Ovis aries: one gene and its partner. The protein of the gene in region 1 interacts with the protein of each later gene in a pairwise test. Links are inferred from orthologs where the notes say so. Each region holds a gene or a part of one and is shown on either strand. Other genes may lie near its edges.

Region 1 (3,500 bases):
CTCTCGAAGGAGCAAGTTTCGATGGGTTGGATAGTCCTCTAAGTGTGTGAGACACAGAATCTTTGTATACATTAGACAGAAATTCCTTAAATCTGAGATTCCTATTTCTAGAAAGTTAAAATTCTTGGTAAATTCTGTTAAAGTGTTAAATTCTATTACTTACATAGCCTCAATTAAGATCCAGGTCTTAACTATGTCCAGGTCTTAAGGGTGTTTGCCTCTCCCGCGGGAAGCCATGCTGTGATCTGGAGCAGCCAGCTGGCCAGCGTGGGCTGGAGTCACTCTGACTAAGTGGGGATGACAGCCGGTGTGCCCTTTATGTTTTTTCCAGGGCCTTGCATGCCGGGGAAGCAGCCCAGGGTCCTAAACTGACCCCACTTCCCATTTGGTTTGCCCTCCAAACTCACCTGCTCCAGGCTTGACTTCAGCCATGTCTTGGGAGAATTATCATAGTTGCTTTTAATTCTTTTTTACCATATGTGCCTTTCTGTCACTGAAGGGGCTGTGAAAAGTTGCAATATTTGAAGCATAGAGAGAGGTATTGGGGTTGAGGCAAATACTTTGCACTCTGAGCCAAAAAAATCCATTCGGCTTTCCTGTCTTTTATTTTGGAGAATGATGTTATCAGTGCTCTGAGTGTGCATAGTCCCAGGGGACTCTGTAGGTTGAGTATTGTTGGTATTGAGATGAGGTCAGGCATTCAGGAGGGTTTGCTCCTGGTTACCTGCTCAGCATTAACCCCTTGGTAGGCCTGGGCTCTGGGCTAGAACTCAGTCAGCGTTTTCATGACTCTTCCTTCCAGACCACACCTGTAACCATGCAAGTTGGAGAAGGTCAGCAGGTGCAAATTGTCCAGGCCCAGCCACAAGGCCAAGCCCAGCAGGCCCAGAGCGGCGCTGGGCAGACCATGCAGGTGATGCAGCAGATCATCACGAACACGGGAGAGATCCAGCAGATCCCGGTAAGCCTGCCCTGCCCTGCCCTGCCCTCGGGTCTGCGCGGCGCTGTGCGCGACAGTGTGATCAGGGACGGTTAGAGGTTTCAGTACACACACACACACAACACACACATACAACACACAGACACACAACACACACAGACACACACACTCTTTGTTGTAAACCTGTATTTCCATTACCCTAGACCCTAGACCACAACTGGCTTCACTGCGTACTCCCTGCTTTCCTTTAATCTGGGTTCAGACTCGCGGCTATGGGGCAGCACTTCTAGAGTTCCCCTCCCGCTGCCTGTGCAGAGAGGTCATTGTAGCCACTATTCCATGGCAAGGCCCAAAGGCCCTGTGAGGCAGTTCTGTCTTGATTTGCAGAGAATAAGAGGGAAGTGTATAGAGAAGGCCATAAATACACTTGTTGCATATTCATGAGTCAGTTCCCAGTGGAGCCTGCAACAAAGTGTATTTTTGGCTTTCATTTAACTTATCCATTGCTTCACTGTGGACTGCTACTTCCTGTGTGCCTTGAGGGATTTCATTTCTTATATTTGTTGGCTTTTTCACTTGTACTTGTTTTTTTGTCTAAAAAAAATGAAGAAAGTCCTCGTCGTAACATGTGCCACCTAGTCATTGGTCAGCTTGCCACAAAAAATGTGGAAAAGGCGTGACATAGAGCAGGTCTGTTCCTGCCACTCACCTTTCCTATTGTTAATGAAATGTTGGCAGACACAGACTTGGACTTGGCTAACCACTTCCTCTTTGAAGGAAGCTTGAAAAGTATCCTTAGCTCTATTTTGGGTAGCTCTTCTTAATTAACAGAGTAATAGGCCAAGAGAAAGCTGAGGAAAGGGGGCTATGTGCATCACTCTATCTCTTTCTTTGTCACCTCTCTCTGTCTTTCTTTCTCCCCACCCCCTTCTCTCCATCTCCTTCCCCCACCCTTCCTTCTTAAATAGGGCGGGGTTGGGGTGGGGTGACCACATGCACACAAGCATGCATCGATTTCAGATTCCTTGCAGCCACCAACTCATGACTTCTCTCATAAATGGTTCTCAATTTTGCATGTGAGAGCACCAAAATAAGATCATCTAAACCAGAGTAGAGTTCCCACTTCATAGTAACTTTAACCTGAGTCTTTTACAGACTTGGGGGCACAGAAGACTTGTTGCAGAGTTTAGGACTTAGTCTTCACTGTATGCTTCTGCAGGAGTCTGCATTTCTAGACTTAGCGGAGTGCTGGTTCCCAGGAAGGGAACTGTGCTCCTCTTTGGAAAGCCCAGGGAGTGGGCTTCTTTGCTCTGTTGCTGTTCAGTTGCTAAGTTATGTCCAACTCTTTGCGATCTCATGAACTGTAGCACACCAGGCTTCTCTGTCCTTCGCTATCTCCCAGAGTTTGCTCAAATTCATGTCCATTGAGTCAGTGATGCCATCTGACCATCTCATCTTCTTTTGCCCCCTTCTCCTGCCCTCAGTCTTTCCCAGCGTCAGGGTCTTTTCCAGTGCGTCGGCTCTTCTCATCAGGTGGCCTGAGTGTTGGAGCTTCAGCTTCACCATCAGGCCTTCCAGTGAATATTCAGGGTTGATTTCCATCCAGGGGGGTGGGCTTCTTTGCTCTGTGGTTAATGTTAAAAGGGTGTGAGGGTCCCCAGGATTATCCCTGCGGTAGAGGATTGAAGAGCAGAGCGTCCCCAGATATCTAAGCCCAAGCCTAAAAGAAGAGCTTGCTCCTAAGAACTGCTTAGAACTGTCCAGCTCACAAGTTTTCAGTCACATTTGAGTTTCTGCAAAGTGCTCTTTCCAGCAGGGAAATGTAAAATTCCTATGGCCAGCAATATACCTTCCCCCACTCCTGGGACCAGGCTTCTTACAGTCTTTCATCCCATGTCCTTGGCTGGAGTTCTGGAGACTCCTGGGACCAACCAACATCAATCTCGGCACATGAGGTTTCCCAAGCCTCCATGCAGCTGTCTTCCTCCTCGTAAGCAATTTAACGTTGGCCTGGAAGCTGCATTGTGGGATGTAGTGGGGGGTTAGGCTTGGCATCACAACTTCCCAACAACTCTTCTTGGCAAGTTCTCAGGAGAGAAATGACGGTAGGTCACAATATCTTGCCCTGTCTCCTTTAAAGCGGACTCTTAGTGGGTTTAGATTTTGTGTCCCTCCATCTTGCCTTAGACAATTCTGGAATGTTCTACCAGGAACTTCAATGTTCCTCTTTTCTTGGTTCAGTGTTCATCTTTTCTTGATGGTTCAAATCCTCTTTGAAGCTGAAGTTTCAGAGAAGCAGTTTGATTTAACACTTGTATGCAGGAGTTTCATCCTATCGGCATTTACTCATGGAAGTAAAAGCCCATATAATGAAGTTAGCTCTTGAAGGCAAGAGGAAAATTTTCTCCAGGACAGAGGCATGACTTGCCTATTACCCTCAAGAAGCTCACCCTTTAAAGAAGAGCAGGCCAGACAGCTTTTTTTCTGGAGGGTGGTGTCTAGGCCCCCAAATGGAGGGAGACTATATCTGCCAGTCTTCCTGGAGCCTCTTTCATCTCCC
Region 2 (3,500 bases), about 55 Mb from region 1:
GAAAACTCTGCAAAGTATATAAAATGTTTAGCAGAGCATCTTTCCCTTTATCAAATATTTACGCTGGCACCCTGTAGGTGATCTCCCATAGTAGAGACTCAATAAATAATAGCCACTAGCTTTTTAAAAAAACTTTCAATCCTCCATTGGTACCTCCTATTCATATGGATTACAACACTGTTTGCATGTGGTCTTACCTGCCTCAAAGGCTTTTCTACTTAAGTACCTGTTTTCTATGTTGTGAGGATTAAATGATACTGGTAAATCACTTGGCACATGATTAACACATGGTTAGAACTCAATAAACATTGGTAAGCTTTATCTTCCTTATCAGTTTAAATGGTATCTGGTATCTAGTGCTTGATAACTTAAAATTTAAATACTTAAACCAAACTGGTTGTTAATGACTATAAAGAGATCAGTTATGGAACTAATCTGGAAAAGACCTAAAATGGTATTTCCTAGTTCTAATAGTAGTTATAGTAACTTGTATCAATTCTCACCTCTTCTATTCAAACCAAATCTGTCTTCCATTTTCAAGTTGAGAAGCCAGAACTTTGTAGGGAAAAAACAGCCTCACTTCTCCCCACCTCCTTTTTTTTTCCATAATGGTGAATAGATTCTTGAACCTCCTCAAAGTTCAGAATCATAATTTATAAGATCAAGGTTAAAGTAAATGATTTCAAGTCTGTTCCACCCCTAGAATTCTGTGCTTCCCTGACTCATCAATTTAACTCAGTCATTTATTCAACAAATATTTACTGAATACTCCCCCTGTGCTAGTTACCAAGTCAGATGGGTGCTGCTGCTGCTGCTGCTGCTGCTGCTGCTGCTAAGTCACTTCAGTCATGTCCGACTCTGTGCGACCCCATAGACAGCAGCCCACCAGGCTCCCCCGTCCCTGGAATTCTCCAGGCAAGAACACTGCAGTGGGTTGCCATTTCCTTCTCCAATGCATGAAAGTGAAAAGTGGAAGTGAAGTTGCTCAGTCGTGTCCAACCCTCAGCGACCCCATGGACTGCAGCCTTCCAGGCTCCTCCGTCCATGGGATTTTCTAAAGATACAATTAATAATAGGTCCAGCCGTCAGCGAGCTTACAAACTGAGGGCAGGGACAGACAATTATAAAGGACCACAAAGCACTATTCCTATGATGAAATAAGTATCTCTACGGAACTGAAACACTGTATTTTACATCCTCTTTACCAGAGAATCACCTCTGACCCAATGATTTAGGTCTAACTTTCAAGATCTTCCCACTGGAAAGTGAGTTCAATGCTTTATTATACTTATAGACAGTACTTATAGACAGTCTGCTTGAGCAATCTGAGCATTTCAGTAGTACCCAGAAATGGAATGGACTATTTTTTAAGCTGTTCTTGTAAATCTTCAAGTTTGTAATTCCTTGCTCCTGCCTTTGTAGGGTAAACAGGAAGAAGGTACAGAGAAGAGCAAGTGAAAATATGATTAAGATATCTCAGTCCCTGGTGATAAATTTAGCCTTGGTCAGTGATCTGCATTCTTAACAACCAGGTTATTAAGCTCTCAGTCTTACATGGAGTGAATATTCAGTCATTCAAGGATCACTGTAGGGTTTCCCTCGTGGCTCAGTGGTAATTCGCCTGCCAACGCAGGAGACGCGGGTTCGATTCTTGACCCAGAAAGATCCCACATGCCGTAGAACAGTTAAGCCTGTGTATCACAACTACTGAGCCTGTGCTGTAGAGCCCAGGAGCTGCAACTACTGAAGCCTGTGCGCCCTGGAGCTCGAGCTCCATGACAAGAAAATCCACCGCAAGGAGAAGCTCCTGCACTGCAACTAGAGAGTAACCCCTGCTGACTGCAACTACAGAAAAGTTCACATACCAATGAAGACCCAGCACAGCCAAACATAAATAAATAAATACTTTTTTTTTTTAAAGAAAAGAACCGTTGTACACTGTAACTACCTGCTCCCTAACTTCAAGGAACCTGGCAGAGGAGGAGGGAAGGCCAATTTTTCCCTCTCAATTTCTTCTTCTTGCTCTTGCCTGTGGGTATTCTGGACCAGGCCCAGTGCATCCCATGCCTGAGTGGAAAGGACTGATGGAAAGCTTTTTCTTTGCATCAGCATGGGGTATATGTGCATATTGGTTGTTGGGTTATTCACTCCACATGGAAACTGTGTTGCATGCTGCATGGGCTTCTTCATCTCCTAATCCTCATCCCTAGGTATTTTTACCAGATAATGAAGGCTGCCAGCCTTTGTTGCCTCTGCTGTAATACGAAGGCACAGTGAGTCATGGAGACAAAGGGTAAGAGATACTATAGTGGTCATCTTTGGAAAATATGATCTTCCACAGAGGGATGATCCAAAATATATTACAGAGCTTGTTTCTACTGTCACCAAGGGACCTGGAAGGGAATGAAGAAGGCACCCAGGATTCTGACAATGGGCTAAGGCAGGCCAAGAAGATGGCAGAGCAGTAACACTGGAGAAATTCTGAGAGGCTAGTCACAAACTCCACTCAATTCCAGCTCCCGGTGGTCTCCTTTCTTTAAAAACAGAGGGAAATAACAAATAGTTCTTGTTGCTAATCCTCCACAGACTGGACATTAGAACAAGCGAAAAAGGAGAAAAGTTTTCTGCCTTTCTCTGCTCCACTGGCCCTTCAAAGTTTTTAAGATCAGAGTGTTTTAAAGGTGCAGTAAAGACCTAAGTTAACTAAAAAGTAAACGTTAGTCAGATTTTTTTTATATGCTGTTCGTCTAAAAATTTGATAAAATATTTTCTCACCAGTCCATCAGTTTAAATCTTACGAATGTTAAGGTATACTTTTCATGCTTTTAAATGGTCATTCTGCCTGAAAAAAACATCAAAGTAAAGTCTCAGTAGTCATTCGGAGTTGTTCTCCTCAGAAAACAGGCTGCTGCAAATATTTACTTTTATGTAAAGTAAATAGCCGGCCAAATAGAGTCAAACTGGCCAGATCTAACATCAGACTCTATGATCAAACAATCAGCCACAAAAACAAAATTTTGGACATGCATATTGACTTGGGAAATTATTTTAGAAAACAGTATGATTTTGGTGTACAAAAAAGGGTCAGATTCACATGAAATAAGTTAATATGTGTTACTTACTTTTGCAAATAATTCCTGTTGCTGTCTCAATAATTCTTCTTCGGGAATGCCGAGATTTTCCAAACGAGAACTGGCCTTTCTTCTTTTTAATGCTACTGTCTTGCATTCTTGTAAGACTTCTTTTACTTCACTGATATAAGAGCCAAAGCCTAAACTTTCTAGTGCTGGGAAAATGAAAATATGAAAATATCAGAAAGTGATAAAACACCACTTTTTCTTCACCAGTGGAATATTTTGTGAAGCTTGCCAATGGGGTGGTGGGGGTGGCAGAGGGAGGTATTTGGAGGGGAAGACTACTGTCTTCTAATAATTTTACCTATTTTACGGTGCACAATAATCATCCATATGGCTAAGACAAAATATTTTATCAGCTTTCTT

Evidence for each region. The genes of interacting proteins can lie anywhere in the genome.
Region 2: the proteins of NFYC (region 1) and DR1 interact in binary tests that used the Homo sapiens proteins (3 or more experiments, as listed by UniProt). The link is inferred for Ovis aries from reciprocal best matches to the Homo sapiens genes NFYC and DR1.

The regions. Positions count from the first base shown.
Region 1 is NC_056054.1:15,281,660-15,285,159, forward strand, and holds part of NFYC (nuclear transcription factor Y subunit gamma), read left to right. Parts: intron 1-802; coding exon 803-961; intron 962-3,500. UniProt on the Homo sapiens protein: Component of the sequence-specific heterotrimeric transcription factor (NF-Y) which specifically recognizes a 5'-CCAAT-3' box motif found in the promoters of its target genes.
Region 2 is NC_056054.1:70,565,861-70,569,360, reverse strand, and holds part of DR1 (protein Dr1), read right to left. Parts: intron 3,287-3,500; coding exon 3,123-3,286; intron 1-3,122. UniProt on the Homo sapiens protein: The association of the DR1/DRAP1 heterodimer with TBP results in a functional repression of both activated and basal transcription of class II genes.